Lonchura striata: one gene and its partner. The protein of the gene in region 2 purifies or fractionates together with the protein of the main gene of each other region. This does not show direct contact. Links are inferred from orthologs where the notes say so. Each region holds a gene or a part of one and is shown on either strand. Other genes may lie near its edges.

Region 1 (16,196 bases), on a different chromosome or scaffold from region 2:
CCGTCTGGGGTGCCAGAGTCAAGCACTGCATCCCCCAGCCAGGCCTCCACCACGGCCAGCACATCCCTGGCACCCCGAGCTGGGGCCACCGTGGTGCCTGGGGATGAGGAGGGGACCACCACCACCTCCACCATCACCACCACCACTGTCACCACACTGCAGGGGCCAGGTGAGAGCCAGGGAGGGAGTCAGGTGGAACCAGGGTGAAGTGAGGCTAAGCTGGGGTTTCTTCTGTCACCAGCTCCCTGCAACCGGACGCTGGCGGGTCCCGAGGGCTGGCTGGTGTCCCCAGAACCAACTGGTGTCCCCTATGATGGCAGCCTGGACTGCACCTACAGCATCTCTGTCTACCCTGGCTATGGTGTGGAGCTCAAGGTGAGCTGAGGGCTGAGGGTGGGCCAGACAAGTACAGACAAGTGTGGTGTGCTCCCTACTCTGTGCCATGGCTGTGTGTCTGTGCAGGGTGCAGCAAACACGTGGTCTTGTCCCTGTCCTTGTCCCTATTCCTGTGTCCCCATGCCAAGAGAGCTGGCTCAGGACACTGCCTACCCTCAGGCCCCGGCACAGGGATGTGGGTACATGAGCTGGTGGGATGCCCCAGGATGCTCTGTGCCCACCAGCTGCTGTGGCTGGCACCCATCACAAAGAAGTGCTGTGAGATTTAATTAACGAAGCCCTAATGGAGAAGGTGTGAGCAGTGCCAGCAGGTGCCATGCTGTGCTGCAGGGTCAGGAACACCCAGCACCCATCTGCCAGGAGCAGAGGCTGACAGCAAACCCTGCTGTGCTGAGGCCTTGTGCTGCTCCTGGCAGTGGCAAATGGCCACGTGTCCCCATCTCTGCTGAGGCCACCGCAGGGCAGTGGCTGGTGGTGAGCCAGAGGCAGCACGTCCACCACCAGCCCCGCTCCAGCCCGCACTCACCAGTCCTGCTGCTCCTCACCATGCAGCACGGCTTAATTAGCATCATTAATAGCAAATTGCTCCAGAGGGCAAGGCTGGCTGTCTGCAGGGCTGTGCTGTGGTGCTCTGGCAGAGCCGCCGGCTGGGCCCTGCTGCTCTTGGCGTGGGGGATGATTTATGGCACTGCTAACCATGTTTGAAAGGTGCTGCCCTGCACAGACAAGCTCCAGTGGGCTATCGACCGCAGAGAAGCCACTCAAAGACCAGCTCCAAGGCAGGTGATGCTGTGGTGGTGACACTTGTGTCCCCTGCAGGTAGAGAACATCAGCCTGGCAGAAGGGGAGACACTGACAGTGGAGAGTGCGGGGGGCCTGGAGCCCAACCTCCTGGCCAACGAGTCCTTCCTGCTGCGGGGCCAGGTCATCCGCAGCCCAGCCAACCTCCTCACCCTCCGCTTCCAGAGCCCCCGGCCCCCCAGCCCTGGTTCCTACCACTTTCACTACCAAGGTATGGGGCTCAGGCCCCTCTGTATCCTCTGGGAGCTTCCCTGCCAGCGTGGTGCTAATTTGGATTGTGGAGAAGCACCTGGAGTTTATCTGTGTTTTAAGTGGGCACTGACTAGGTGAGGAACGCTCACGGAGAGCTAATTGGCCATAGCAGTTATAGATTAATTGAGCATAATTCTCAGCAGCCATAGGCACTGTGTCACTCAAGCCCTGCCACACCCAGGCATTTCCAGGGCTCTGAGGAGGCAGTTTCTGGGTTCTGGGAGGGGTTCCATTGCTCCTCAGCCTTGGTAACACCACCACCTGCCCCCAGCCTACCTGCTGAGCTGCCCCTTCCCAGCACGGCCGGCTTTCGGGGAGGTCTCGGTCAGCAGCCTGCACCCTGGCGGGGACGCCCGTTTCCGCTGCTCCACGGGATACCAGCTGCAGGGCGCCCGCCGGCTCGTCTGCCGCAACGCCACTCGCCCCTTCTGGAGCGCCCGTGAGCCCCTCTGTCTCGGTAAGCACGGGCACCACGGGGACACGGGACGGCTGGCACGGCAGCATCACCCGCTGATGGTCCCTCTCCCCCAGCGGCGTGTGGCGGCGTGGTGCGGAATGCCACGGTGGGACGCATTGTCTCGCCCGGCTTTCCCGGGAACTACAGCAACAACCTGACCTGCCACTGGCTGCTGGAAGCGCCGGATGGCCACCGCCTGCACCTCCACTTCGAAAAGGTGTCACTGGCAGAGGACGATGACAGGTTTGGCACAGACTGGGGGGGCTAGGGGTGTGGGGGCACCCTGGGGCAGCCCCTCACGGGGCCATGTGCATGGATGAGTGCTCTTGGCTATATCCAAGGATGGGTGCCATTGGCCCTATCCTAAGATAGGATCTGTCATGGATGGGTGCCGTTAGTCACATTTAAAGATGGGTGTTGCTTGCCATGGCCAAGTGTGGCTACCTTTGGCCACTGGCCATAGTCAAGGTGCTGTTGGCCACATTCAAGGAAGATAACTTCTGGCCATACCCAAGGATGGTGCTGTTGGGAATGGCTGGCGTTGGAGGCTACCATCCATGCCCAAGTGTGGCTGCTGCTGGCCATGGCCAGCAGTGCACCCTGGCCTTGTCATGCCTTGTCAGGCTCATCATCCGCAACGGCAACAACGTGGAGGCACCGCCGGTGTATGACTCCTACGAGGTGGAGTACCTGCCCATCGAGGGGCTGCTCAGCACCGGGCGCCACTTCTTCGTGGAGCTCACCACTGACAGCAGCGGGGCCGCTGCGGGCATGGCGCTGCGCTATGAGGGTATGGGGCCAAGGGTGTAGCGGGTGACCCAAACATCCCTGTGCCCACCTGGCTCCTGCAGACCTTTGCCCCTGTGCCCGCAGCCTTCGAGCAAGGGCATTGCTATGAGCCCTTCGTCAAGTATGGGAACTTCACGACCAGTGATCCCCGGTACCCCGTGGGCACCACGGTGGAGTTCAGCTGCGACCCTGGCTACACGCTGGAGCAGGGCTCCACTATCATCGAGTGCGTCGACCCCAGTGACCCACAGTGGAACGAGACAGAACCAGCGTGCCGTGGTGGGTGCTGGTGCTAGAAGGTGCTGGGGGTTGCTGTGTAAGGGGCATGAGAGATACTGCAGCCACCGTGCTGTTGAGTGTGATGGAGCTGAGGGACATGGTGGGTGCGGGATGCGGGTGCTGTGGCAGGTGCCCCGTGGCGGTGCCAAACCCGGTGTGTGCCCACAGCGGTGTGCAGCGGGGAGCTGACGGACACGGCTGGAGTGGTGCTGTCACCCAACTGGCCAGAGGCATACGGCAAGGGCCAGGACTGCATCTGGGGGCTGCACGTGGAGGAGGACAAGCGCATCATGCTGGACGTCCGCGTGTGAGTGCTGGGATGGGCCGGGATGGGGATGGTGGGATGGTGGATCTGTGTACTCCCTGCCCTCACGGCCCCACTGCCCCAGGCTGCGGCTGGGCTCGGGGGACATGCTGACCTTCTACGACGGGGACGACCTGACGGCGCGCATCCTGGGCCAGTACACGGGCGCCCGTGGCCGCTTCAAGCTCTACGCATCCACTGCCGATGTCACCGTCCAGTTCCAGTCCGACCCCGGTGCCGGTGCCTTTGCCTATAGGCAGGGCTTTGTCATCCACTTCTCCGGTGAGGCCCGTGGTGGGACAACACCCCTGGTGTCCCCAGTGTCCCCACTGCCCTGCTCAGCCTTCCATGCCCACAGAGGTTCCCCGTAATGACACCTGCCCTGAGCTGCCAGACATTGCAAATGGCTGGAAGACGTCCTCACAGCCAGAGCTCCTCCATGGCACTGTGGTTACATTCCATTGCTACCCCGGCTTCCAGCTGACTGGCACGGACCTCCTGATGTGTCACTGGGACCTGACGTGGAGCGGTGACCTGCCCTCCTGCGAGCGGGGTGAGTGGTGCCCACCAGTGACCCCCTGCCCTGCAGCGCATCCCCAGCTGCTGTCACCACCGGTCACTCCTGCCTGCAGTGACAACCTGCCGGGACCCTGGGGATGCTGAGCACAGCCGCAGGGTGGTCTCCAACCCTAAATTCCCGGTGGGAGCCACCGTGCAGTACGTCTGTGACAAGGGCTACGTCCTGGCGGGCGCTGGGACCCTCACCTGCCATGACCGCGCTGCGGGGGGACCCAAGTGGAGCGACCGCCTCCCCAAGTGCATCCGTGAGTTGCGTGTCCCCTCCTCGGGCATATCCCCCGAGCCGAGGTCGAGCGCTGACGCCGCCGTACCCCTGCCTCGCAGCGGAGACCTACGAGCCCTGCCACAACCCCGGCGTGCCGGCGGGCGGGCGGCAGAGCCCGGAGCGGCGGCTGTACCCGGCGGGAGCCACCCTGCGCTTCTCCTGCACCGCCGGCCGGGCGCTGCTGGGCGAGAGCAGCCTGCGCTGCCTGCCCGGACACCCCTCCCGCTGGAGCGGCTCCCCTCCCATCTGCAAGGCGGGTGAGACCACCACCCCCCACCCCGGCACCCCGCCGGCACCGCTCAGCACCCCACTTCTCACCCCTGGTGTTGGTTTCTTTCTCCCGCCTCCTCCAGCCTCCTACGATGAGTTTTACAGCAACCGCAACCTGGATGGTAAGGGCGAGGGTGTTTTGGGGTGCCAGAGCGTGGAGGGGCACCCAGGGTGCGGCCGATGTGGGGTGTCCCCTGGGTGAGCCCCCAAATGTCCCTTTCGGACAGCTGTGGCCAAGGCCGTGCCCTCGGGGACAACGCTGGAGGGCACCAACGTTGCCATCGCTGTCTTCCTGCCCGTGCTGGTGGTGGCCCTGCTCATCGGGGGCATTTACCTCTACTTCTCCAAGTGAGTGGCCCGCTGGCCCCTGTCACCCCATGCGGCCCCATGGCCCCCCACTACCCACCCCAGCTGCCCTTTCCCCACAGGCTCCAGGGGAAGCCGGCTCTGCAGCTGCCCCTTGCTGGCTCCCACCCCTATGACCATATCACCGTGGAGTCGGCTTTTGACAATCCCACCTATGAGACAGGAGTAAGTACTGGCCTCCACGCCCCCCGTCTGGGGCTGGGCACCCTGGGGACCCTGCACTGCATGGGCCACCTGTGCCAGGGGCTGTGCATGGGCTGGGACGGGTGTGGGATGGGGTCATGTGTTCCAGGAACCACACATTATTTAGGAGACGCATCCAGGAACAACACAGGGGATGGGACATGCACCCAGAGACCACCCATGGGATGATGTATATCAGGATGGACATCCAGTTGGGGACCACACACAGGACAGGACATCAACCCAGGGACCACATGTGGGGTGGGATATCCATCTAGGCACCACACATTGGTTCAGACAACCATCCAGGGATCACACACACTATCTGGGATATCCATCCAAGGACCATGTACAGGATGGACGCTGATCCAGGACCCATGGATGGGATGGGACATGCATCCCCAGGGCTGTCGTAGTCTGGGATGTGCCCCCAGGTCTCTACGGGATGGGAGATGCCCAATCCCTGTCCCAGGCACCCCGTTGCACTGCCGAGTGTCCAGCCCCTTGCAGTCTGTTTTCTTTGCAGGACACGAGGGAATATGAGGTGTCCATCTAGGTGTGGGCAGCGTGGAGCTGGGCGCTGCAGCCACCCCTCCCGGGCCCCCCCGTGCCCACCGGCCCCCGGCACGGGCTGGGAACACCTCTCCCAAGGAGACTCAAGCCGAGCGCTTGGCAGGACCCACCTGGGCACCGGCCACCCCCCTGCCACCCCCAATTCACCCAGACCCCCGTGGGATCTGCCCGAGCCCCACTGTCACCCAGCCCCCCGCACTGGGCTCGTGAGAGGCTGAGCCAGCGGGGGTCCCCGGACCCCATCCTGCCCCCTGAGCCAGCGGGGGTCCCCGGACCCCATCCTGCCCCCTGAGCCAGCGGGGGTCCCCGGATCCCATCCTGCCCCCTGAGCCAGCGGGGGTCCCCGGATCCCATCCTGCCCCCTGAGCCAGCGGGGGTCCCCGGACCCTGCCCTGCCCTTCGGGCTCCATCCTTCCCCCAGACCCCGCAGGGGGAAAGCAGCAGCCCCACAGTCCGTGCGGCGGAGGAGTGACACGGGCAGGGGGAGCGGCGCTCTGGGGACCCACAGGTAAGGACAGGGCTCCCCGGAGCTGCAGCGAGCAGGGGACAAAGCCCCGGGGGTGGCCGAGGGGCTTGGGTGGCCATGTGGGTGTCCCCCCGCCCCCCACCCAGCACACAGGGCTGGTCTCCCCACGACCCTGTGTCTCCCAGCGCCGCCACGCAGGGACGTGTCCCTCCCGTGTCCCCAGCATGCTGCGTGTCCCCCCGGCCCCCGCTTGCTTCGCCCTCACCGGGGGGGTCCCTTCCGCCACCAGCGTGTCCCCAAGGCGCGTCCCGGCACCCGGAGTGACGGGGCGGGCAGGGACACCGGGCATGGCTGTGCCGCCTCCCACCGCCGCGTCCCGCCCGGGCTGGTGGCCCCGGCCCCCGCCGCCCCCTCGGTCTGGAGGGGACGCCGCCCCCCTCCCCATCTTTTGGTTGTTTCATTAATAAAAAATGGTGTTTTAGAAGAAGCGATGGCGTCTTCTTCAGCGGGGCCGGGCAGCTTGGAACGGGGATACACCCACACATACCCCCCCCACCCCACCCCAGCGTGGGCCCTGAGCCCACCTCATCCCGACCCCCATGACACCGCGACCCCCACGCCCCCTATCCGGTGCGCTCCGGGAGGGGAGCACTGCCGCTTTAAGAGGCGTGGTCTCTGCCGGGGTGACGTCACGAGAGAGGCCGCGCGCCGCGCGCCCCCTGCCGACGGGCGCGTGCCCCGCCGCCCCGCCCCGCGCCGTTACGTCACTGACGTCCCCGGTGGCCCCGCCCACTCGCTGGAACGTGACGGCCGCCACGCGCCTGCGCGAGAAGGGGGCGGGGAAGGGGCGGGGAGGGGCGGAGCCGCGCGGGGAGGCGGAGCCACTGCGCGTGCGTCCCGCCGCCCCCCCGCCGCCGCCGCCGCCGCCGCCGCGCCAGGTCCGCGCGCGGGAGGCGGAGCGGAGCGCGCAGGCGCGCGCGGGGCGGGCGGGGCGGGGGCGCGGAGTGCGCGTGCGCGCGGGGCCCGGAGCGTCGGCGCCGCCTGTGCGCGGGGCGTGCGCGGTGCGCGAGCGGCCGCGGCGGGCGCCGGGCCGCCGCCCCCTCCCTCCCTCACACACCCACCCCCTGCGCGGCAATGGCAGCGGGCGTCGGGCCCCCCGTGGCCGCCCCCGGGCACGGCTGGAGGAGGAGGAGGGCGACGCGCAAGCCGCAGCGGCCCGTGGGATAGGCCCCGCCGCCCGCCCGCCCCCGCCGCGCCGCGCCCCCCCCCCCCCCGCCGCCGACTCGACGCGGAGCCGCCGCTGAGGGGCCGCCGCACGTCCCCGCCTCGCTCCCTCTCGCCCGGGGGGGGCTCTCGGGGCCGCTCCTGGGCTGGATGAATGTGGGAGAAGATGGAGACCAAGACGATCGTCTACGACCTGGACACCTCCGGGGGGCTGATGGAGGTGAGGCCCGGGACGCGGCGGGGGGAGCCGGGCCGGGGGGGCAGATGGCGAGGGAACCCCCCCAGCCCGGAGCCCCGTGGCCTTAGAAGGAAGTGCGGAGGGACGGAGGCAGCTCGCCCTGCCCCTGGAGAGGCCCTGCCGGACACTGGGCGGGCGGGGCGGGCCCGGCCGGGGCTCTGTCCCCCCCGCGATCCCCTCCCGGAGGGCCCGGGGTCGCTGTCCCCCCGGTGGGCTCGGGGAGAAGGGCGCTGGGTCAGCGTCCGTGCAGCCCCTCAGAGCCCGCTCTGTCTGTGTGTGCATGTGCAGCAAATCCAGGCCCTCCTGGCTCCCCCCAAGAGCGAAGATGGGGAGAAGAAGAGCAGGAGGCCCGAGAAGGAGCCCAGGCGAAGTGGCAGGGCCACTAACCACGATAGCTGCGATAGCTGCAAGGAAGGAGGGGATCTGCTGTGCTGCGATCACTGCCCCGCCGCTTTCCACCTCCAGTGCTGGTAAGGCTTGGCGCTCTCTCCCTCCGGATCTGCCCAGAGCACCTTCCCTCCGGCCGCTCCCGCTTCCCGTTAGGTCCCGGGGAGGGGGGGGACGTGGGGCCGGCTGGAGCAGACAGGAACAAAAAGGAGGTGCAAACCCCGCTTCGGTCCATCCCTCCTCAGACTTAACCCACGGCGGCCGAGCTGAACCCTCCTCTGGCTGCTTTCTGGAGGGTTGGGGGTCCACCCTCCTCCTTTCTTTTTGTGCTGAGCAGCGGGCGAGAGGCCTGGAGGAGGAGCGAGGCCGCTGGCTGCGCGGCCTGGCTGCCTTGCTGCTGCCCCTGCCCGGCCTTCCGCCCTCCCCAGCGGGAACCTTCCCCACTCCCCCCTCTCCAAGGGTGCCTGGCTTGTGGGAGACCCTCCGGAGGGCTCTAGCTGGAGAGGGGGAAACCCTGGTGGCGTCTCCGCACCAGGCCTGACGTTCCCAGCGCTTCCGTGCTGCTGCAGCTGCTGGGAATAATGGAGGTTGCTGTCTCTGTGTCTCCCTGCCTCACTGTTTACAATATGGCGACCTTCCTTTAAATTATATTTTTATTCTCAGCGCCATTTTGGCTGCATATATGACTTCCAAACCCTCGCAACACTCCCCACAGTATCTCAAACGTGAAAATACCTTCCCCGTGGAAATCCAGGCCTCCAGGCTTTAACGTTGGCCGGGTTTATTCCTTTCCCTCCTTTTTTCTCTTCCTCCTTGCTCTTCCGACCTGCTTGCCTGCTCCGTGGGGGTGTCTGCCGTGAACTGGGGGGCTGCCGGGTGCTCTTGCTGGGAGTTGTGTGGCTTTGTTGATGAAGGCAGAGCTTTCTGCATGCAGATCTGGCTGCCGGCTGGGAATCGAGGTGCGTGTGGAAGCGGTGGCAGAGCTCGAGGTGCTGGAGGCTGCAGCAGGATGGGCTCTTGCTGCCTTCCCTCACAGCTTCCCAAGCTCTCCCCGCACAAAGCGACACCACGCCAAAAGCGCCTCAACTTTCCGCCCCAAAGTTTTTCCTTTTTCTGCACCCGGAGCTTGGATGCATCCTGAAATCCCCCCTTTCAACAGTTGACAGAGGCGGGCGGTTTGTGTTAAATTAGCACTGCCAGAGAGGATAATGGAGTGGAGGAGGGAGCGGGGCAAGTCAAACAGCTGGAGCTTGGGAGTACAGAGTATTCTTCCTTAGGGGAGATTTTTTAACCACATTCCTTTCTCTCTTTCATGCTTTGGAGCTTTGTTTGCCACCCTGTTACAGCTGTCTCCTCTGCGCTTTTTTTCCTCTCTCTGTTGTTTTTTTTTTTCCTTGCTTTTTTTTTCTGATTTCCATTTGCTTGCTGGCTATTCTGTATTTCTATGCTAATTGAGGGTCTCAGAACACTTACTAAACTGGTTGCTGATAGCAGGGAAGCTGAGTGTGCGGTCACAGTCCTGTAGGGAGTGTCCCGTTAGCAGCATGTAGCCAGGCAAAGCCGACAATGCTGTAGCATGCAGCCATGACATCATCCCTCCTACCCTGAGGAAGTGCTACTGGTGGTAGTGCAGATCCTCTAATATTTCCTAGCAGGATAGTAATTATCATTATTTTTCATCCAGTGTCCTTGATGAGTTTTAATTTAAGGGTGGTTTTTTCCTTCTGCCGGGCGTAGTTGTTTTTGGATGCAGCCAAACGCGTCCTGAGCGTTCTCCTAGCGAGGCTGAAACTTCCCATTTTGGGATGGAAGAGCTGTGCCTAAGGCTGCAGAGTTAACTCTGAATCCTAGCTAAGTCTGACCATAAATGACACCACTTTTTGCCTAAATTTCATGGCTTAAGTTGGCGTTGTTTTTGTAGTTAGTGAGTAGGGAACAACCAGGTAAATCAGATACCTGAAAAGCTTTCACTGTACCTGAGCTAGTTGCATTATAATTGTATAAGAATTTATATAAAAATATTGTATAAAAAATACATATATATATCTTTGGCTAACTAGTCACTCTTCAGAACAGAAGTGAAAGAGCAATTCTAAATACTCTCTTTCACTCCATTTGTTGCCTCTTCTGGGGTTTCTCAAGCAATCCCTTTGACAGTAGCCCAGACCCTGCTGTGGGAGGTGGCACAGTGTGGAAAGGCTTTGTCTAAAGGCCTCCAGCTTGGGTCTGGTTCTGCCTCCCTCCTCCTGAACCTTTGTTGGACCCTTGGCTATGGCCTTCAGGTGACCTAGGTTGTCTCAAAGGAATGCTCAGGTTTTGTTTTCATGTGTCTTCCTATTACCTCCTACACTTTGCTGAAAGTAAACTTCCATTCTGGATATAAACTTAGGCATAAAGAAAGGCAGCTCTTGCAACTTCCTTTCTGCCTCCTTTTTTTTTTTTATTTAAAGAATAGTAGCTGTACTGGAAGGCTCGGTTTAAGTCACTTGAATAGCCCTGCTGGAGCACTCTTAACTGATTCGTGTCAACAACTTACCTGTTCTCTGAATATTTATTGTGAGCTTTAGTACCAAGTTGAATTTATTATCAGTATAGCACAACAAAAAAAAGTAGCTTTTAATTGGTCTAGGGTATATGAGCAGTTGATTTCAACTGTCTGGGAGAGGCCATATTACAAAAGAAAAGGATTTTCAGGGGTATGATTGGCTCAAGTCATGCAGTCAGCTGGAGACAAACCCAGCTCAGCTTCGCAGGAACTTGTGTTGCTCCTTCCTGTGTAGAGAAGGTTCTTCTGTATCAAGATGTTTAAGGCTATAGTGAGTAAGTTGGCTTTGCTAGGTGTGTGACCCTCAAACTTCAGCAGTTTGCCTTAACTTCAGTTTAGCACTTGAACCCGTTGTCCTCTGTGGAAAACAGAAGGCAGAGGCCAAAACTCCGGAAACGTTTGGAGTCTGATAGTATTACACATCTGAGATGGTAAATAACAAGTGTTGTTGGTACACTGTGGAACGACTGCTCTCCTGAATTGACGTGGGTGGAAGTGACTTCCCAATTCATCTGTTGGGGTGTCAGTTTTTCCCACAACTCCATTTTGGAGTCACTAGTTCAGGAAAGCTGCTATGGGTGCTCTGAGAAGCCAGAGGACTCCAGCCTGGCTGGAGATAAACTGGCTTGGTGGGAGGGATACAGGAAAGTGTGAAATCCCTGCCAGATACTTAGTTTCAACATACTTGGATTAATATCACAGTCAGGTGACTCTCTTCAAGTTTGAATTTACAGAGGAAGGTTTTTTGGGTCCCTAGGAATTCTTGAAAACAGGACATGGGATTTTTAGCTCTGAAGTTGTTGTCTTGTTCTGCTATTTGCCCACAATCTGCTGCTTTGGGTAACAGTGCAGAGTGCATTTCCATCCTGATGTTCTGCCTTAGCCCAGGCCCCCAGGAATGGTGCATACTCCTTCTTTACATGATTGAAAACCAATTTTCCAGTGCTACTTCTATTCTTTCCCATTTATATCCTCCTTCTGGCAATGTGATTGTTAGAATTCCCTATGTTTTCTTGAGCTTGTAGTAAACTTGATTCACATTGAAGTGGGTTTGCAAAGTGACTGATGTTGCAAATTCATTACGAAGGATTAGAAAGATCCCCGGGAGAGGAAAAGTTTAGTTAACAAGCTGGGGGAGGGGAGTGACAACAGGAGGGAGAACCAACACAGAACAGTTTTGTGTTTGTTTTTTTTTTTTTCTCCCTCTTTTTGTTTTTTTAAAAAGTCTCCCTGCCTGAGTTTCTGGTTGGAGGAGCCCAAAAGCACAAACCTCGCTGAATGCTGCGGTTCAAGTCCCTCTTGTAAAAATCTCATGCCGCTGGCTGTGCAGCTCTGCTGGCATGGCAGAGTGACCTCAGTCCCTTAAAGCTCACCAGTTACGTAAATGACAGTGCCAGTTTTGTGGCACGGCTCAGCAAAACGTTTCCTTGTAGCTGGGCTTCCTCACTGCTGTGCTGGGAGAAGTGTGTTCTGTCCGTACCAGGGCCTGCTACCTCCATCAAACTTTTTGCAGCACCTCCTTGTGTTTATATTTGCAGTGTTTGGCTCATTTCCCCTCCGATTTGGCAGTCTTCACCCAAGTGCTGGTGTCAAAGAACAGGAGTAACAGAGCTGCAAAGTGCAGCAGAGGAAGCTAAACTAGCATTTTGGTATTTTCTATGAGTCACCTTGTTTTAAGTGCTTCGAACAAAGAATGGAAAAAAGTTGTGTTTGGCTGGTAGGGCATCAATAACTCTTTCCTCACCTTATTCGGCCTAAAATGCCCTGTTGACTTGTTCCAGCTTTGGATTTTTACATGAATATGCCATCTGTGAGTGGAGAAAAACAATGGCCAGTCTGTTGTCTCAGTTAATCCTTCCATTAATGGTCATCTTGGGCCTGCCTCAGGTGTTCCAGGTGAATCTTAGAATGGTCTGAGGCATCTCCTGCTGCAAGGAGTAGCAGGATGTCCAGGAAGATGCTGGAGAGGCAAACTTCTTACCTAATAGTGCCTAGGAACGGGTTTCAGTACATCAAATTACATCACAGCTTCAAAAAAGCTTGTCATTTTAAGTGGAGGAAGCTTTTATTATGAGGCTTTCTGTTTATTTGGGTTTTTTTAACAGTAAATGATTGGCAAACCCCTACTTTAATGTTTATGTAATTGCATATTGAAGGTCAGAGTAAGCTGTTCTGTTCCCAACATTTAAATGTATCTATCTTCACCGATACTTTGTTAAAACAATATTGGTTTAAGTATGTGCTTTTAAAAAAACCCCGACTTTTGTTTTTATGTGTCGCTGGTTCTGATATTTTGGGAGACTTGGGGCCAGCCTAGGCTGGATCCTGAGGCAGGAGGAAGTGATTGCCCTGGCTGAGTTTCTGGCAGCAGAGGGTCACTGCGTGTGCGCCTGCAGATGTGGTAACATGATCAGTCTTGGCAGCTCTGCTCAGCAAAGTTGTACCAGTGAGATTTTTCACTCTCCTTATTTTGTCCTAAATCTCTCTGTGCAAAGGCAGATAAGGTCAGCCTAAATCTATGGACTTCAGCTGGGGGCTTCAGCAAATCATTCACAGTACGAATTTGAGGAACTCGTGATTGGGTGACTGGCAAGCCACCACTCTCACCTGGGTGTGGGGATGTTGCTCGTGTTAAACTGCGCATGAGCAGATTTTGCACTGTGGGCAAGAACTGGGGATTTGGATTGAACCGTGGGTCTCTGCTGCAGTTCCCAACATCAGTGTGGAGTGATAGGGGCATGGCTTTGGGATTCTAAAGTCGAGGATTCAAAGTTGAGGAGGGGGATGTTTAGCAACTTGACTTAGGCTTTGCCTTCAAGACGTGGCTGCTGCATGGACTGGTGTTTCATCAAACACCTGCTTTGTTCCAAAGCTGTTTAAAATGGCACAGTGGGAGACTGTGAACAAGGAAAATTCTCCGTGGTTTCGTACCTTGGCTTGGGAAAGTGCCAGTTTTATGTTGACCACGACTTGTGGAACTGAGAAATCTTTTTTTTGTGCCACTGTGAGGTCCATTTTTGAGTTGACTCTTCAGGAGCAGGAGGCTGCAGGGTTTGCTTCGAGGTGGGGTTCACTGCTTTGTTCCTGCTGCTCCAGAGCTGGTCTTTCCTGGTATGTAAGCCTGCAGGCATGACTCATGGGAGCCTTTCACAACACAGAAAGGTCTTCCCAGAGGAATTCCAGCTCCTCCAGGCATTTGCAAAGGAAATTCTTAATTGGATTAGATTCATAATACTAATCTGCTAATGACTGTTTGTTATGGAGATCTTGGCACTATCTTGTAAATATATTCACCTTCCTTTAGCTGCCTTATGTCTTTTTATCACATACAAGCTCAGCGTTGTTAAGATTGTACTGCCGCCAGCAGATCTGATAGTTGGGAATGGGCGACTACTGTGTTTATTACACAAGATCTTATAAAGCTCATAATTCTTTCCTCTCTCTCTCTCCATTTCACGGTGTTGTTTAGGTGGGGTACTAAAAGGGAAGCAGTGGTAATTGGCATGTCTGACATCCGGCTGTACTTCTCTTACCATGGGTGTGAAGGACACCCCGGGTGGGGAGTGCCTCTGTGCAGTTGTCAGTGACAGAACTGTGTATTTTTAGTAAGAATCAGGACCAAACAGGCATTTCATCCCTCCCAAAAAGGGCCTTTATGGGATGTAGGTGCTGTTGTGGTGGTGTGAGGAACACCTGCAGGAGAGCACTGCTCCTGTGTTTCCCTGTGTAAGATTGAGTCAATTTGAAATTTCAATTGTAACATCGATACTGAAACAGTTTTTCAACACTAACATAAATTCTTCTATTTATTGACCCACACACCAGTGGATGTTAAACTGCTTTTGTTGCTAGACTGACTCACTGGTATGTGTCAGGTTTTTGAGTTTTTCCTGTGCTCTGCAGCCTTTCTTAATCCTTGAGTCAGTAGCAAATAGCAGGAATCTGTTGTGGAGAAAGGGAGCATTTACTTCCAGAGCAGGAAAGAGGTATATCTCCCTGAAAGCAAGTGTGACAGTCTGAATATTTAGGAAGTGCTGTCTGTTGGAATATAAATTATGTGAGAAGGATGTACCCATTTTGTTTTTTTAAACCACTCAGGAAGTTCTTTTGGACTTGTGAAAATGCAAATGTATCTGGGGATATAACATGGCTTTGTTACAGGGGTATGAAAGAAGTGAGTGCAAGCAAAAAGCATCTTGCCACGTCAGGTTACTGGCTAGACTTGTGATTTTTGTGACACAGATTGTCAGAGCTGGCTTTTCTTTCTTATAGTAATCGATTTGTGCTGTCTCCAGCTCCACTGCTCGCTAGATGTCTGCCCAGCTTCCTCGAAGGAACACTGCAGTATCCAGTAACTCTGTAAGCTGAGTAAAAATAGTGTTGTAGCTTCCCTTTAATAAAGGGGTTGACACATACCAGTTGTAATGCAACCACATACCTTTTTAGGGTATGGAGTAAATGCTTCCTGTAGCCAAAAATGAAGGGGGGGGGGAAAGAAAAAAAAAAAAAAGGTTGTATAAATCATTCTTCCTGTTGGTGTAGCAGATCTTGAGCACAAAAGGCAAAGAGCATCTCAGCCAGCTGGGGGGAATCGAGTGCCTGAACCCAACTCTAGCCCATTTCTGCTGACGTCTGCTCTGCATGATCACTGGAAGCAAACTAGATGGAGCTGGAGATTACCGACTTTGAACCCTGCAGAAAGCACTGGCCTGAGGATACAATTTAGCAGGCTGAAAACCCCATGCTGAATTTCTGGCAAGCACTAGTGATTGGTGTGAAACACCTGCCTGTACAGCCTCTGACTTTGGGCACGGCATCATGTGAACTTCCCAGTGATCTCTGTCTAGAATAGCAACAGGAGCAAGATATGAAGGTGATCTGGAAAAGGCAGAAAAGAATGTATGCCCTGCTCTAAGGATTTTTTGTTGGGTTTTTTTTTTTGGTGGATATTTCTGTCTCTGCTCATTTTTCTCTCTTCCCCAGCGTTCTTGGGAAAGCCTAGTCCACATGTAGATGTCAGAATTACACTTCACTTGTGCCTGTGTGAAGACAAAATCATGCTTTTGCTTTTATGGGTCTGCCCTTCATCCTCTTCTGATGTGCTGCTTTCCTTTTTTCCACCTTATTGCTGCTGTCCTTTCACCCCTGTCTCCTTTGAACACATTCAGTATGGCCAGGGCTGAATGTGTTCACTTCTCAGAAACCTCTCAGACCTGTGTTTTGATTATTTTTTTTCCCACCAGAGATGTCTCTTCATTTATTGTTCTTTAAAGACAGAATTGGATGAAGTGATTCTCACCAGGGCTGTGTTGTTCCTCAGCCTCCTTTCTTTTCCCTGATGCTGCCCTATGTGTCATCCTGCTTTGAGAAGATGACTTCTAATCTGTTAAGAAGATGGTGCTATAAAGACCTGAACACTTAATAATGAACCTGGACATTGAATTCAGGCTATTGTTGCTATTGTCTGCAGCACAGGCATGAGTGATGCCTGGGAAAGAAACTGGAGTCAGGATGTGCAAAATGTCTGAATTTCTGTGTCTGACCCACATTTTTCAAAGTCAACAATTCTTCCATCAACTTCCATAGTTTCTGATTATAAATACAGAGCTGGATTCAAATATCAGAGTTCATAACCAGTCAAACTAATAAAAAAATAAGAATCAAAAACCCTCACTGCAGTTCTGGTGGTACTATACACTCTTTAATGCATATTTATTTTTATATATGTATGTGTTTACCTATATGTGGAAGTTTGGTATCTTAAACACAATACTTCCTTTAATTTTTTGTCAGCTGGACATTAATGAGGGTAATAACTAACA
Region 2 (16,685 bases):
GGAAGACAGGTGGAACTACTGAGACAACTTTGCCTCTAGACAGCTTCATGAGAAAAGAGGAATACTCCTGCGCTGTTCTCCCTAAATGAAGGAGTTCAAAAGGCGTTGCAGGAGCCCAGTTGCCATATGTAAACAGGTGCCTGGGTTAATTGTTCTGAGTCTAAATGCCCTGCACAGGAGAGTCTTGATATGTTCAGGATAAAACAACCTTCTATCAAAACTAGATTCCAGTAATACTTCTGTTTGATTAAATAGACATCGAAGCACTTTAAGCATTTCATAAAGATGCATGAACCACCTGTAGATGTTGTCCATGAATCTGTTCTTGTGATTGAAGCTACCAAACTAGAAAAGAAGCTGTAGGCCAAATTCAAGAATAACAAATCACCAACTAGAAGGGCTGGGTAAAAAAAGTAAAGTAGTCTTCCTGAAAGTAAGTGTGACTGTGTGGGTGAAAGAGAAACAATTGCCAAATACAAAATACTGTTGTCAGTGATCATGAGATTGTGTAGTGGGGAGCACACAAAAAGAACTATTAACAACTATGAACTGTTGTAAAAGTGTTTCTGCTTGGGCATATAATGTTCATCTTCCATAATTTTGTAGTCTCCTAACAGATGTACCAAATCTAACTGTGTGAAAACAGAATAAAATTGTAATTTGTCTTTCTAATTCAGTAACTGTAAAGAGCAGTTGAAACTTCAATACTACACCTATTAATATTTTTGTTCTCAGCTCTGCAAGGCTATTTAAGGCCTTTATTAATCATAATACATCATATACCACCAACCACAATAAATGTATGCTTTGCTTCTTGTATAATATTAATGTTAAAGTTGAGGGCTGCATTACATGAAAGCAAAGCTATTGCACTGGCTTGGATATTGAGCTGCAGGCACTTAATCCAGCCTCTGCAGGATGACTGAGATGATTGCCATGTAGCACAGCACAGCAGCAAGAGAGGAACCCCAGCTTCATTTTAGGAGCTCAAGGAGCTGCATACTTATTTATCCATTGTGTTTGCATCATATTTTCCCAGAAAGTATTCGGCTCCCAACAAAGCCATTGCCCAAAAGGAAACCCTTCTCCAGCAAGTATTATTTTGGTACAGTAAAGTTCATGTGAAAGTTAAGGGCACTCCTCCCACAAATGTCTTGCAATGTGTGCCTCAGGGCACAGGCCACGTGTCTATTGTGGTACTCAGTATTTTATATATGCTCTGTGGCTTTTAGGTCTTGGCTACAAGTTATATCTTTAGAATTAAAATGCCTTGATGAAAATTACCGTTGGCTGGTCACAAAACTCTGGAGCTCAACACAAGGCCGTAAATTCAGTGGCAATGTATCCACTCACAGTCCAGTGATACAAATATGAAACCTACCTACCTTTTGGCATGGGGAATTACCAAGCTAGAAGACAGAAATGGGTGAGCTCAGCTCCCTCAGCTGCAGGGCATCAAAGCCTGTCCCTACAGGATCCTTTGATATTCTTTCTGCTGTTGAGTCCATTTTGCTGGTCTTCATTTTGTCCTCCATTTTCCTAATATGAGAGAGATGAAGAATTTTCAGATATGTTGCTCTTGGAGGTCCCACTCTTCAGCTGTGTCCATCCATAAGAAGTTGTCTGGAGAGTCAATCATTCTCCCTGTGTTACTGGGTGATGTTCTGAACACAAGAAAAACAAGACAGTGCAACCATTCAAATACCTAAAAATGAAGTTTAACACTTTAGTAACAGTCACTGCCTGCAGATCCAGTCTCTTTTGAGACCTTACACTCAGAATTCTTGTTAATCTGAATTATTTTTTAACATTTCCTAGTATAATAAAAACTACACTAAAATAAAAGTATTTAGTGTTTACTAAAGGAAGTTGTTCTATAGCTCTCTGAAAAAAAATATTTTTGTCTGTTTAGACTGCAGTTGGAACCATAATACTTGAATTGACAGCAGCACTGAATTTTAGAAAGGTATATTCTGTAATTTTCCCTTTTATATTACAATTTATTGACAAATAAGGCAAATGGCAAAAAGTACTTTTCATTTGGTTTGAGTTCCTTGTAGGAACTCAAAAAATCAAAACCATGTAGAGCATTGTTACTCCTATGAGGATTTGACAATGAACTAAGCTTCATTGGACTCAATGACCATCAAGGCCTTTTCCAACCCTGGTAATTCATATAAGGTAAGACAGCCCACAGAAGAAGACAGGTCCATGGATTATGCTGAGGCAGCACAGGGATTTTAGAGTGATCCCAAGTGAAAACCTTGTGGACTGCAGTGAAAGGAAGTCAAAGATTTGAGTCAAGGGAGTCACTCTGGTTACTGTAAATATAGGACTTGTTATTTTTATTTTCTTGTAATTGTTAATAAAGAAATAAGAAGAAAAAACCCAGAGAAACTGAAAGGAGAGAATGGAGAGAAGTGATGTCAACTTGGGATTAATCAATGCAACACACGGAACATAGGCACACATCTCATCTTTCTAAGCTACTGAAGACTAAGATTTAACTCTGTATTACCGATCTACTGCTAATTCCTGAGCATTTTGAATTATTGACAGTATCCCTTAATTTTAGCATCTACTCCCCTAAGGCTGATTGTTCTTCCTTGTATTTGAAGAGGGCAGAACAGAGGCTGCAGGCTGAAACAAATCTGTCTGGTTCCTGCCCTCACAGGTCCCACTGTATTAAAAGTTGTCAATACCTGAGACTTTCAAATGTTACATGTTAAATCAAAGCCTTTCATAAAGTTAGAATATAAGCCTAGTGCAACATTTTAATGCTTTCATACAATACCCTTGGAATTCAAACCATACAAGCACATCTCATTGTGTTTGGAGCTGAATGGCTTGTAAAAAGTTTAGGGCAGAAAACTTCGTTGGTATTTTAGTATGTGGCATTGCTCCCATTCTGCTGTTTATACACATTCCTTGTCATGCTGAGACTGTCAATACATAAAATTAATTAATTTTTATTTCCCTTACTGATTTTTCATTTTAATTGCCTGACTTTTTTTTTTCTTACCATCACTAATTGTGAAGACTGAAAAAACAATTTAAAATCTAAAGCTAACAAGCAAACAAATATTAACAGTCTGAAACTCAAATCATGTGTCAGTGTTGGCTTGCTCAGGAAATGCAAATACACTTCTGCCATAAGGATGCCAGGATGGCAAATAACATTAATTTTTGAATTTGCATCAAATTTTCCAGGAAATTTATGCCCTTATATAAGTAAGTTTAGCAGAAAGCTACACACATAGGCCAATTACAGATTCAGATCAACAAAATTCCATAAAAGGTGACTGTTAGCGTCCCTCTTTACGGATGAGGTTTCAGTCTGCAGAAATCCAGGAAGATCACTTCTCTCCATGTAACAGAAAACTTAACTGCATCACTGACCATTTCAGGATTTAGGTGAAGCTAGTCTTAAATTATTTTACAAAAACCAGCAGTCACAGTTAACTAAATTAAACAGTTATATAAAATGCTGGATGATTGTATCTTTTAAACTCCTCTTCTGGAAAATAACTTAAAAAGTAAGAATGAATGCTACAGACATCAAAGATGACATGAAACTTCTGGTTTTGTCCCAAGATCAGCAATAATTTCTGAAGAGCAAAGCACTGAAATGATGCATCAACTGGAATGAAAATTTTCACTTCAAAGGTCTGATACATCTGAAAAAAATAAATACCATAATCCTTAAAAAAACCCGGCACATTTTATAATTTTAAAACTTTTTGTAAGGTGTTTACAAATTGGAGGATACAAACAAAAGAACTAGTCCAAAGTATTCCTTGAAAACTATAAATTATTGGCTACAGTTTCTTTAATGGAGATTGCAGGAGTAGGTCCCACATGAGTCCATATATAGCCTTTCTCTGGCCTTGTAGGAACAGTAGGGAAGGGAGATGATCGAGATTTGAAATATTCTGAAGGTGCATGACAAACAAATTCTAAATATTCCATTTTCCTTGGGAGATCTTCTTCTGGTCCTAGAAAAAAAATTCAAAGACATAACTTGGAGACATAAAACTAAGTATGTTGAATAAAAATATGCCACAACAGCCAACATTCCCTTACAGAGCTTGCCCTTGCAATCCATGACTTTCCTCCTGTTTTAGGCAATAAACCTCTACCTTTAATTTTGCTGGGCTGATCTTCCCCCCCATCCCATTTGAAGCATTCTGGTATTTGAGTGGACTATTGTAGTTAACATATTTAAAATACATTCTATTTGTGTTCTGCCTGTTAGAGGGACTTTTCTGAATTCCTTATTTTATCATCAATAGCAGAACAGTCTCTATGCTGGTGCTATGTATTTTGAATACCCAGGATAAAGATCAAGTAATTCAGGTCACTTTAAAATAAGCAACTTGGACTAGTATATCAGAATCAAAGTTACTATGGTTTAAACATAGTAGTAATAGTTTAATCAATAGTAATAACAGTAATAATAATAATAAATAATAGTAATAATAGTAATCAATAATTTGATCCTTAAAGATGCACAACTGTAATTCTACCCACAAACACTCAGATAATCACACACTACAATAGTGGTAATCATATTATATACACAAGATAAATAAAAAGTCTTATTACAGTAAATGAGATGTTTACAAGATTAGAGTCTAAAATGTGGAACTTGCATAAAATACCTTGAGAAGCTAAAATGCTGATTTAAAAAATACAACTCTGCATTAGCATAGGCACATCCAAGTAGTTGCATGACGTGAAGGCTTACAGATTACCTATGATGTAGGATGCTGGGTCAAAACAGTCTTTGGGGCTGGCTTGGGTAGGAATGAGCCAGGTTAGTGCAGCACTCTTTTCACAGTATTGGTCCTGAATAAACCCACGGATCTGAGCGTAGTATGTTCTTCCATCCTGCTCATCAACCACTGAAACAACATCTCCAATTTGGTAGTATACACCCTAGAAGACATACAAATGGCACTGAAATCAAACAACCTGATTTTTGTCAGCTTCACATCCTGATTCATGTATTAAGTAGCAGTACTCTAAATTATCCTAATTTATTCCACTCTTGAAAGGCAGCTTCAATTTAGCCACATGCTAAAGAATGGTAGCACAAGAAAGAAAGGTGGTTATTTTCAAAACATATAAAAAGAACACAAACAATCCCAAACAAACTTATTCACAACAACACTGCAAAGTATCAAAGTAGCAATGTTCTACATAATGAGAACAGAAATTTTGACATAGTTCTTAGGAATTTCTGATAAAAACAGACACACATGACAGTAATTCTTTTCTGAACTGGTCAAAAGCAAACGAGATTCATCTGGAATGCCAGGCATGAAACATCAGGTCCCTGGAGAGTATATGGAATCTCACACCACCACTGGCTGTGTAGTCTCCCACTGCCTATTCTGACTTTTTTGGAGAGGAAGAGGGTGAAAAAACATTCTGTTTGCTTATACTGCTGGGAAACAAAAGCAAATTTGAGTGCTTTAGAATACCAACACCTTGGCATGCTGGTAAAGCTGCTCTCAAGCATGAAGGTGAGAAGGCTCCTTCTTGCTTCACTGCAAGTGCCAACAGATCTTGTTCCCAGGGTGTCTGAGACTGCTTGCACCAGCTCTCAAATGGGAGCCAGCTGAGATACTGGGGCACTGCAACCCCACCTCTATGCGAAATATATTCTGCACCTAAGACAGCAAATATCAAACAAATCTAAATAATCGTCTCTAGTCACCTGACCTCTGCACAGTGCAAGTTAAGTTTAAAAATGCTGACAGCAATAATTACAAAAAAAAAAAAAAAAAAAAAAAAAGTACTTTTGCTTGGAAGAGAAAAACCTGGGAAAATGGCAACTATTTAAACTTAGGTAGACTACCTTGCAAGACTTAATGGCAATAACTATGGCAAACCAAAATCCTACACAACTGTTAGGCAAGGAAGAACAGTTTCTGTGATTATATCTCTAGTGCTTTCACTGTCCATGATAATTCCTAACATTGGAAACAGAAACAGGATAATAATTTTTGCAAATAGATTTGCATAAACCATACCTTATAAAAGATTGATTCTGCTGTAATTATAGTGGATACGGACTCAGGAGCCTTGATTGGCTAAGAAAAGAATACAGAAACAGAAAATCAAAAGCATTAAAACAAATAAACCATAAAGTTCCAGAAATGGATTTTTCTTTTAGATAACATACAGATACATAAGAAAACTAGCAAACACTTCTACTTTAAAGCTCAAAGCAACAGAGCTGACGTTTCCCTCTCCAGGATTTATGTGGAGAAGCGAGTGCTGAACTCCCTGACCGGTTTCTCTTCCCGCTGCTCCCGCGGGCTCCATGTCCAGCCCAGCCTGGGGCAGGCTCCCGACCCACCCGCGGCCCCGCCTTACGTTTTTTAGTTTGAAGATGTGCCGCCTGCCCTTGCCCTTCGTGGAAACCTTCTTCTCCGCGGCGGGCGCAGACTTGTACTTGGTGTTCCTGAGCCGAGCGGAGCGGCGGTGGATCTCCTGCTTGCTCTGCGGGGAACAGCGGGATGAACACAAGGGGGACGGCCCGAGCACCCCGGCCGCAGCCCCGCCCGGCCCCGCCCGGCCCCGCCGGCTCCGCCACCGTCGCCCTCGGCCTCCTGACCTGCTTGCCGCCGCCGCCGCCGCCGCCGCCGTTGTTGCTGTGCTGGGCGGCGGCCGCCGAGGTGGTGGCGAAGGCGGCGGGGGGCGGCGGCGCCGAGCGGGCCGTGCAGTTGTTGCACAGGATCTCGCCCTGCCCGCCCTTCTTCCACATGGAAGAGGACGTGCTGCGGCACACGCTGCAGGTGGGCTTCAGCCCCAGCGGCATGCTGAGGCCGGCGCGGGGCCCGCGGGCCCGACAGCGAGCGGCGGGAGCGCGGCGCCGGCCGCTTCCCGGCGGCGGCGGATGTGGCGCGGCGGGCCGGGAGCGGCGGGCCGGGAGCGGCGGGGCCGGGCCTGCCCTCTGCTGGCGGCGGCGAGCCCGGCCCGGGACGGGCGGGGCCCGGCCCCTCAGGGGCTGCTCCCGCCTCGGCCGGGGCCGCGGCGCGGAGAGCGCTGGCCTGTCGGTGCCGGCGGGGTCGGAGGCGGGCACGGGCGGCCCCGATGGTGCAGCTGGGGCTGGTCAGCCTGGAGAAGGTCGTGTGGAGACCTCGCAGCACCTTCGGCGTCTGAAGGGAACGTCCGGGGGAGGCAGAGGGACTCTGTCAGGAACAGCAGTGGCAGAACAGCACAGGGGAGAATGGGTACAAATTGAAAGACGGAGCATTTAGATTAGATATTAGGAAGAAATTCTCTACTGTGCATGTGGTGACATACTGAAACGGGTTGTCCAGGGAGGCTGTGAATGCCTCAACCATGGCAGTGTTCAAAACTGTGCTGGGTAAGACCTTTGCTGTGCAAGACCTGGTGTCGTGGGAGGTGTCCCTGCTCATGGCAGGGGGGCTGCCACTAGATGATCTTTAAGGTAGCTTCCAACCCTTAACATTGTGCTGCAGAAGCCACCTCTGATGCTGTTGCTGTTTGCAGGGGATGCCAGGTGCTGTCATTCAAGGATTTACAGCTGTCACTCTTCTGGCTCAACAGAAAATCAGGGAACTGGAGATGGACTGCAATGATTGTCCTGATTCAGAAGAAAGTGTTGGTGAATGTTAACCTCAACATATGCCAGTTTTTGCCTTCATTTAGATTAAATATTTTGAAAAAATCCTCTGCTTGTAAGGTGGTGAGGCACTGGAACAGGCTGCCCAGAGAAGTTGTGGATGCCCCATCCCTGGAAATGTTCAAAATCAGGTTGGGTGGGGCTCTGAACAACCTGCGCTAATGGAAGGTGACCCTGCCCATGGCATGGGTGGTTAAAACTAGATGATCTTCAAAGTCCCCTTCAAACACAAACCACTCTATGATTCTATGCCCCTCTTGCATGAAGCCTCAGTTACGTATCAAGTAGTTTAAAAGGCTGGGGAATGAACATGTGCCTTTGTGAAGCTTTGAGAACCAAATGTAGTAGGAACCATGGATCTAATAGTGGTTCCTCACCTACTGCCACTCACGTGGCCATGGGCCATCCCTTGTAGAAGTTTTTCTAGTCAGATATTATGAAAGAAATGCCCAGTCATGCATGAGGATTTGCAGTCTTTTAATTCCCATATTCAGTTTATTTAAAGCTTCTTTGGTGCAAATGAAATTGATTTTTGTCTTGTCCTCAGTGGACACAAAGAGCCATAATTTGCAGGAATCTATTAATACATGTTCCCCTCATGCAGCATGCAGTGGATGCAGGGTGTGCCTGTGTTGCTACTGGCTCACAGACAGCTACGTTTAACCTCTTGCATGCCTCTTTCACACCAAGTTTGACTTTCTTGTCTCAGGCACCAAATTTTTATTCCTCAATTTTGATTTAAATCTTCATTTGCCCTCATCTCTTTTCAAGCTGTTTATACTTACCGGGTGCTTTTTTTTTTATTTTTTTTTTTATTTGTTTTCTGTTTCTTTAATGCATCTCTCTGTAGTTGTATTTTGCAGATCAGTGATCTCTCAGAACCCTTAAGTTCTTCCCACTTTTTTTTTGTAGCGTCTGCCTGCTTTTGTTCCCAACCACCCACCTCAGGAGTCTGGGCCCCTCTGACTGCCATCATGTTGGCAGAGCTTCACTAGTCTGTGTAGAAATGGGCTGGAAATGAGTGACAATGTCCATTTCTGTCGAGGTAAGTATCCAATACTTTGTGAAAGTTTTTGTGAGTTTATTATAATATTTATTGTTAATGGAGAGCAAATAAAAATTGCAATAGTTGTTTTTTTCTGCTCCAGTTCTACCATCTTCCTGACTCCAGACTGCTAACCCCTTGATCTTTATGAAATCATGTGCAGGGTCTTTTCTGTCACAAATATAGAATATGTGTGGTTTACATATATGTGAATACTCTTAATATGCTACTGTATATTGTTGATAAATTACCCACTGTGATTATTCTTTCTGCTTTTAAATAATAACTTGAATTTAAAAAATCCAAATGAATAAAGCTTAATCTTTAAGAAACGTAATCTGCGGTGGTAGTTTAAGATAATTAAAAACTGGTTTAGACAACCATTTTTATGTTGTCAGAAAGTTTTAGTTTACTATTTCTTGACAAGTGTGGTTCTGTCAGTTCAATAGAACCACAGTAAAACAACACCTTGAGATTACAGTGTTCTTGGTATGATTATTCTGTTGGCCTTGTGCAAAATCAGAGGCAGGGATTGCTGTCAGTGCAGTTTGTTCATCCCTACCTCACCTGGAAGGTGACACAAAGAACAGTGGTTATGATGTTTTGTCAGAAATTACACCCAGCATGTCAGCTATCTTGGGCAACAGCTGAAATGTTCTGAGAGTTGCTGAATACCTGGTAGTTATGGGTAGGAGAGGTGGGGCTCAGGACTTTACTTAAGTACCTTCTTCTCCAGAGGATCCCAAGCCTTACAACGTCAATCCCAAATTCTGAGCATCCTCTTCAGTTTCCTGATTCTCCTTAACAGAACTAGCCTCTCTTTGGAGCTGGAGTGGGCTGACTCTGTCTGAGGCCTGACTGGAAGTGCCTGATGCAGCTGAGGCATTTTGTGCTGTGTAAGCTCAGCTAAAGTTGCAGAGTAAAAGTTCTCTTCCAGTTAATGTGTATTTTCAGTTTATTTTTCCCGCAGTAAAAGAAAGGGCTGCCCTTGGGAGTCATCAGAGCCCGTCCCTGCTCTGTGAAATTTCCAATGTAGACTCGACAAAGAAGTGGAGGAAATAAAATGTTGGTTCCACCTATGGATGGGGACTGTGGCAGGCACACTGGCTGTCAGTAGAACTCTTTCTCCCCAGGAGCTTTCAGTGAGAATGGTTTTTATTGGAAGTGATGCAAATCCGTACATACTGCTCATTTCCTGCTTCAGTAGTTGAATTGTTCTGCAGTGGATTTAATTGCATTGCTTCCTCCTAGCTTCTTACTGCTATCCTACAGTCAGCTGGCTCACAGCTGAAGAATCCTTTATTCTTATGTGTGTGTCACTGTTCCACAGTCAGCTGCAGAGGATGCACATGGACTGCTTCTCCAGAAATATTTGTGTTGTAAATGCATGAAACTGGGTATAAATCTGATGGATTGGTGCACTCTGGATTTCCACATGGTTATGTTCTAAGGTTCTGTACTTAACAGCTTTCTTTTGAGAAAAGCAGTTTTTATTCCCTTAATTCCCTGGGCCACAACTGATGTTAATCTTGAGATGTGTTACACAGTTATTACTCGCATAAGTAACATGCATCTGTCTTTGCAGCTTTTGGGTCTTAATTACTCATTCAAGCTTGTACTAGAGCCAGGAATTCACCTGGATTTTGTGAGGTTTTTGGGTTTTGGCCCTCGTGAGGGACATGGGTAGGTAAAGCAATGACAGAGATGACATAAAATGATCATGAGTATTTGGTTCTTTCAAGGCATGTTGAAGCTGTCTCCTGAGCCAGACAATTGCTTGTAAAGAAACTGGCTATTACTGTGTCCATGTTTTGGCTTCTCACCACCCTCCCTGACTATTACAGTGGGATGCCTTCTGTGAGGGTGCTGAGGCACTGGAACAGGTTGCCCAGAGAAGTTGGGAATGCTCCATCCCTGGAAGCGTTCAAGGCCGGGTTGGATAGAGCTCTGAGCAGCTTGGTCTAGTGAAAGGTGTCCTTGTTCATGGAAGGGGGATTGGATCAAAATGATCTTCAAGGTCCCTTCCAACCCAAACCAGTCTGTGATTCCATGATCTTGGCATGCTTAGTGGAGGAAGTTGATGATGTAACTGTAACAATGAACAAAATAGTTTAGTGCTACTAATGTAACAGAGGCACTCTGGAATTTCCAGAGTGGATATTAAGTGGCACTTAAGTAACACTAATTAACAGAATCTTTCACAAAAATTAGCCCCCCCTCTTTAGCACCACTACTCATAGTGACAAGGCATCACTCTACAAAGAACAAGTGCACAATATGTCTGTAGCAATTAAGACAAATTCTATTGTATATTTTTTTCAAAGCTTAGTGATGGTCCCCTGTATTTACGTATCAAAACATTCAGCTTACTACATGGTGTCCAACTAATCTGGCATAGTACTGAACATACCCTAAAAATGTCTGTCAGCAGTCTCAAGGATATCCTACATTAAGTCTAAGATGAAATGAGACAGAACGGAATTAGTTTAAGTAATAAATGTTTAATCAAAGAATTTTACATATTATTAACAGCATTCATTTGGCCAAACATCTACATGGTTGTAGTATCCTACCTGTATATAAAGTGGGAATGTATCAAGTATAGACTATGAAAGTGCAAATAACAATTCAAGGTTAGAGTAATTTTTTTACATTATAAAATTAACAGGTTTACAAAATAGTCTTGCCAAACTTTTATTTTTGAATTGTAAAGTCAATGACTATGGTGTTAAAATAAGTACCAAGAAAATACAAATTTAATAGTCTAATTTCATGCTCATAAGAGTAACACAGAAACAATGGATATACTGCACAACCTAACCAAATTACATAAAACCAGAACCCACAAACTTCACTATCTTCACAGAGAGCACTCTTACATATCTTACTGCAACTTTGCAAGACATCTCAATGCAATACACAATCTTTTTGCGAGAATCTTTCTATTCAGAAATTACCATTCAAGGAAGCTATGTGAGTTAAACAACTTTCAGACCAATTCATGATGACAGTTCATGAAGGACCGTTTTAGTTGAAAGACTTTATACCTATAGGTATTTTTCAAAGGCTCAATATTATGTCAGGAGTAGGGTGGCTAGAGGACAAGTTGGAAAATTATTTAGACTATTCTAATGCATTCTCTCTAAAGATGCTTGAAAATTGACAAGGTTTTTATGGGGTAAGGGTAAAATATTCTTATTTCATTTTTTACTAATATGAACCTTGTAACTGCAAGGTTCCAAAGCTGGATTTGCATGAATTAGTTACCAAAACACTCACTTGAACTCACAGTAATCAATACATAAACTTTGCTATCATGACACTTGCCTATACACACTCAGTAGTAATAAACTTTTATATCATATCAACAAATCTCTGGTAACAGTTAAGCAAAACTTAAAATGGAGTGTATGTTATTTGCTCATGTTATGAAAAGTTTTGATTATATGCAATTAAAACAGCCATTTGAACAACTTATTCTAGTTGTAATTACATACTGTACCATTGTAACTCACTAACTGTAGATTGATGCTTTTAAGCAAATCTAAAACCAGTATTTTTGTTTTTCACGGTACAACAACTAGGAAAAGTTTTTTTTGTGGTTTGTTTTTTTTTTTCTTAATTTTCTTTTTTACACTAAACAGTAATCACACAGCAAATGAATATTGTGCAATTGAACAAATACCTAGTAGTGTTTTGTATATGCAAAAACACTGACTGTACATTTAGTTATTTACTGTAAAGGCAAGGCCATGGGTGGTTTTATGGAGGTCTTTGCAATTAATAGCATAGTTACTCCAGAACAAACACTGAATTTGAATTACTTGTTTAACTGTGGCAACTATCCAGTTGGGTTAGGCAAAGGCACCGTAACATGTTGAGCAGGATGTGTTATCTGGACTTTTAATTCTGGGACTGACTAATATATGAAAATTCTGTATTCCTATATTTTTATAAAATGTTATCATTAAAAGTAATTGCACTATTAGTGCATAAAATGCTTTGTAGAATTATGAAAACAAAGAACTATGATTGCACTTCCATTAAAGTGTCTCTTAAAATACAGCATAGCTGTTGCTAACTCACTGTATTTTAATATTTAAAATAACTGTTTAACAGCAGCATTAGGTTTTATTAACTTAAGATACAGGCTACATTTAATTAAATGCAGTCACCATGGCAACATATGCCAGTTAAATTTGGAGAAGCAATGCTACCCAGTGGTTTCTTCCATTGCTAAGAATTGTGGGATTAGTTGGATAGACTAACACTGAACTGTTTCATTAGGCTACTGCCAGTTAACTTTTCACAGTTTGGCACATTTGGACTGTAAATAGACATGAAAAAATCTTTGATTTTAAAGGGAAAGAATATCCCCTAAAACTTGTTCCTGGAGCAGTACTAGAGAGAAGCATTAAATACTTCTGTTCACACTGCTAACAAAAATGAAAAATGAATAAGGAAAAGTTATGGAAAACAAAACCAAAATGCAAATTAACTGCTAGATGTTATTTTGATGAAATTATGAGTTCTAAAAAATTGAATAAACTATTTCTTAGGAAAACCAAACAAAATAATCAGTGTAAGCCTTTAATCTGTACTTTCAAGTTAAGGATCATCAACCTAAGGCTAAACAGATGCTGCATTGTATTAGGAATGTGGAATACAACCTACTTATTCCTTTCTCTTGAGAGCAAAAAGGCAAATACTACCTAATTGAATGCAAAGGATATTCCTTGAAAGGTTCACATCATTATGAAGAACTACAATTCAAGAGAACTCCTAAATATCCGTTGTTATGTCAGTGGTTACAACTGAGCTGCAATTATGTGGATCAAAGCCTCCATAATGCTTACTCCACATACTGTACCATCTGTCACCGCCATTCTTTTACTCCAGATTTAGTTTTTATTCATACCAGATGCACGTGTTCAGTCCATTCACTTGAGGTTTGAGGAGTCTGACTTGAACTATCTCCCGAAGCATCTAGGGTGCTTGTTACCTCCCTGTTACAGTCACCAATTTGTGATACTGTTTCACTTGGAATAATGTTTTCTTCAGAAGTGCTTTCCTCTGTTTGGGTTCCTCTGCCTTCGTTTTTGAGTGCATCCTCAAACAGTGCATGGTCTTCCTGAGGCTCCAGCCCTGTGTCTGTAAGATTTGGTTGCCCTGCTGACCGATCTTCAGTGCTGGGTTGCTGTGACTCCTCATCTGTTTCTGTACTTGTTGAGGGGATCAGAGCAATACTCTGTGGGTTCATGTCATGAAACCAGGCCATAATATTTCCAAGCAGATTTTCATTGGTATTGGGATCTTGACTGCTGGAATCAGCATCGCTTGAAGTTGAATACAATCCACTTCTTGTCTCGCTGCAGGGGTGGGAATGAAGACGATCAGCTGAGAAAGGATCATTGCCTGCTCCCAGTCTCATCAGACTGTCACCAAGTTCTAGCAGCTCAGAGCTGCTCAAAGCACCCCTTGGGTTGTCCATACTTATGGGAGCAGCATCCAGTCTTGTAGGCAAAGAGGTACCTATTGCTCCTAAAGATGCCTCATTATTTAGAAAGTCTCTAGTTTCTTCATCTATGGCCAAGCCAGATTCTTGTAATGACAGCTGAATAGCTAGCAGAATGTTTGGGTCATCTTCATCCAGAGAACTCAGAGCCTGTGGAAATACATAAGGTTGCTCTCAGAATAAAACTTGGATCTTATTACATATTTTGGATGAAAAGTAATTCTGGCTCAGATCTGAAATTCATTCATTATTCCTACATGTCCTTTGTGAGAATCAATTTTTACCAACAGAGCTGACAACACAATTTAAAAGGTAACTATTGTTATGTCAGTGATTGTTCAGCAATTCTTACCATTGTGAATGTGTAATTCTCCCTTTTTCCTTGAAGAATTAAGACAATTTGCAGAGACAAAATGACACAAAAGGCAGAGCAGAGCAGAGCAAGCAAAGCAGAGAGAATGGAAAAGAGATTAGGGGAGATACCTGAAGAGAATCCTGGTTTTCAGAGCGACTGACAGGGGTATAGTCATGAAGCGAAGAGCTGTGCAGAATACCCATAGAAGCTGAACTCACCATGGAGGTGCCATGTCTTCTACTGCTGCCACCTTCCTGAGTGTCTGTTTGGACAACCGAAACAAAAGTGGTTGAAGAACCAGTGAGAAAACCTCCTCTGCTATGATTTACTGACAGAATCTCTTCCTTCCTTTTGGATTCTAGTGTAATTTTACTCCTTTATTCACATCAGCTCCTTATCCACATCAGCTTTTACACAGTGGTGAAACACCAATCCCACTGTTTTAGGAGTGACTGCCTGGCTCATTTGTCCTTTCTGCCCTCAAGACTCTTCTCTGTGAAAGCATGGGCTATGCCATTGGGAGCATGGGCAGAAGGGGCAAAGTGCTTCTAAGGCACATACATGATTTATGGAAAGCCCTGAAAATTACTGCATGTGGACACAAATACAGGATGCATTTGCAGGTGGATTACAAATCCCATTTGCCCATTTCTCTGTTCTTTCAAAGACAAAACCTCAGCTATAATGTTAACAGTATAATAATCTTTACTGTAACATTGCAGCACAATTAAGAGTAGAGATATTAGTGAATTCTTCATCGATTACTGACATTGCTGTTTTCTTAAAACCAACAGAAAATAGATGTAAGATGCTGTTTCCAGAAAAAACTGCTCTGTAATAAAACTAAATGTAAATCTTTTAACTTTGGAAAATGGAATTTTCCACTCCAAAACTCAAAATGTGATAGACTGAAATAAAATAATCTCTTGCATGCTTTAATAGTGTGCACTTGGCCATCACTACTATCTCCAAAGCATTCAGTCAAAGTCTAGTCCTTGAACTAACAAGATGGTTTTGCATTTTGTTTGTAATAGGGAAGAAGCAAAGTTCACCAAAATTTTGATTACTTTTTCTAAAATAAAGGATGCATGTGATCCTTCCTCCTCAATAAAGGATCTCTCGGTTTTAAAGAACAAGCTATGTGTTAAGTTCCTGAGACACAGCAATGAGAGTTTGTACAGCATGGCTAAGAGACTGAGCACACAGACTGGTAGCTCTGTAGAAACAGTGCCACAGTATGATTTGGATTCAAGCTATTTCTGTTCCTGTGCTAAGGTTCTGGCAGAACTGAGCCAGCCCAGACAGCCAAGTCACAGAGAGACCTTAAGGGACTGCACTATCAGCCCTCAGAAGAGCAGCACTCTGGAAGTCAAAGCTCAGGCCAGCTTATCTCCTGGCTGCCTTTGCCAATACAGCTTCTGAGCAGAGTTTTGGAATACAACCTTTGGACACTCTTCCACAGGCCTGTAGCCTCTACATTCTATGCACAACTGCTTCTTTTCATTGGTATAGAAGACTTGATGTATGTATGAGTGACCTTCAGAATTTCTTCAGAAAAGCAAACCTGTGCTGGACAGCTGAGAAGTTGTTAGTGGGAAGATCAATGCATTTCTCTTTTAGAAGAGCAGCAGCCACAGTGAAGTCAACAACACTTCTAAGATCACATAAAAAAACTGCAGAGACAAGCCTTTATGTTGTATCCTGGAAAATACAGCAATGTATTTGAAACTTCTTGAAAGTGTATCCACAGGAGAACAAAGACTGTGGTCACTACTAGTGATTTCTGAAGCAGGAAAGAAAGAAGCCAGCCCAGAGAGGTCCGTACCTAATGTACTCTCACTGGGGTCATCAGGGTCTGGAGTATTACTCAGCAGACTGTGCACGTCTCCACGTCGACGCTGTCTGTGCCTCCTCCGATACTGAAATTCAGCATATTCCTGCATAAACCAAAGGTTACAAAACACAGGGCAGCATGCAGTGCTATTTTTCTGAGTAACAAGCACCACATTTTTGAAAAAAATGTGTGATTTTATCTGCTTATTATAAAATCACCTGCTTTCAGAAAAATGAATTGCAAGTTGTATCATGCGACGCTTAACATAAATAACAA

The links.
Region 1: the proteins of GATAD1 (region 2) and PHF12 purify together in Homo sapiens (affinity purification with mass spectrometry; 7 studies listed by BioGRID and IntAct, with this or other methods). This does not show direct contact. The link is inferred for Lonchura striata from reciprocal best matches to the Homo sapiens genes GATAD1 and PHF12.

Annotation. Positions count from the first base shown.
Region 1 is NC_134622.1:7,570,119-7,586,314, reverse strand, and holds the start of PHF12 (PHD finger protein 12), read left to right. Parts: upstream 1-7,249; 5' UTR 7,250-7,358; coding exon 7,359-7,424; intron 7,425-7,730; coding exon 7,731-7,912; intron 7,913-16,196. Other genes in the region: SEZ6 (seizure protein 6 homolog), read left to right, coding at 1-169, 242-375, 1,216-1,408, 1,721-1,906, 1,981-2,149, 2,530-2,696, 2,780-2,974, 3,143-3,281 and 8 more.
Region 2 is NC_134603.1:133,631,657-133,648,341, forward strand, and holds GATAD1 (GATA zinc finger domain-containing protein 1), read right to left. Parts: upstream 6,893-16,685; 5' UTR 6,830-6,892; coding exon 6,630-6,829; coding exon of another isoform or gene 6,626-6,629; intron 6,596-6,625; coding exon 6,385-6,595; intron 6,099-6,384; coding exon 6,039-6,098; intron 4,939-6,038; coding exon 4,755-4,938; intron 3,996-4,754; coding exon 3,805-3,995; 3' UTR 2,319-3,804; downstream 1-2,318. Other genes in the region: ANKIB1 (ankyrin repeat and IBR domain-containing protein 1), read right to left, coding at 13,618-14,370, 14,704-14,837, 16,401-16,512. UniProt on the Homo sapiens protein: Component of some chromatin complex recruited to chromatin sites methylated 'Lys-4' of histone H3 (H3K4me), with a preference for trimethylated form (H3K4me3).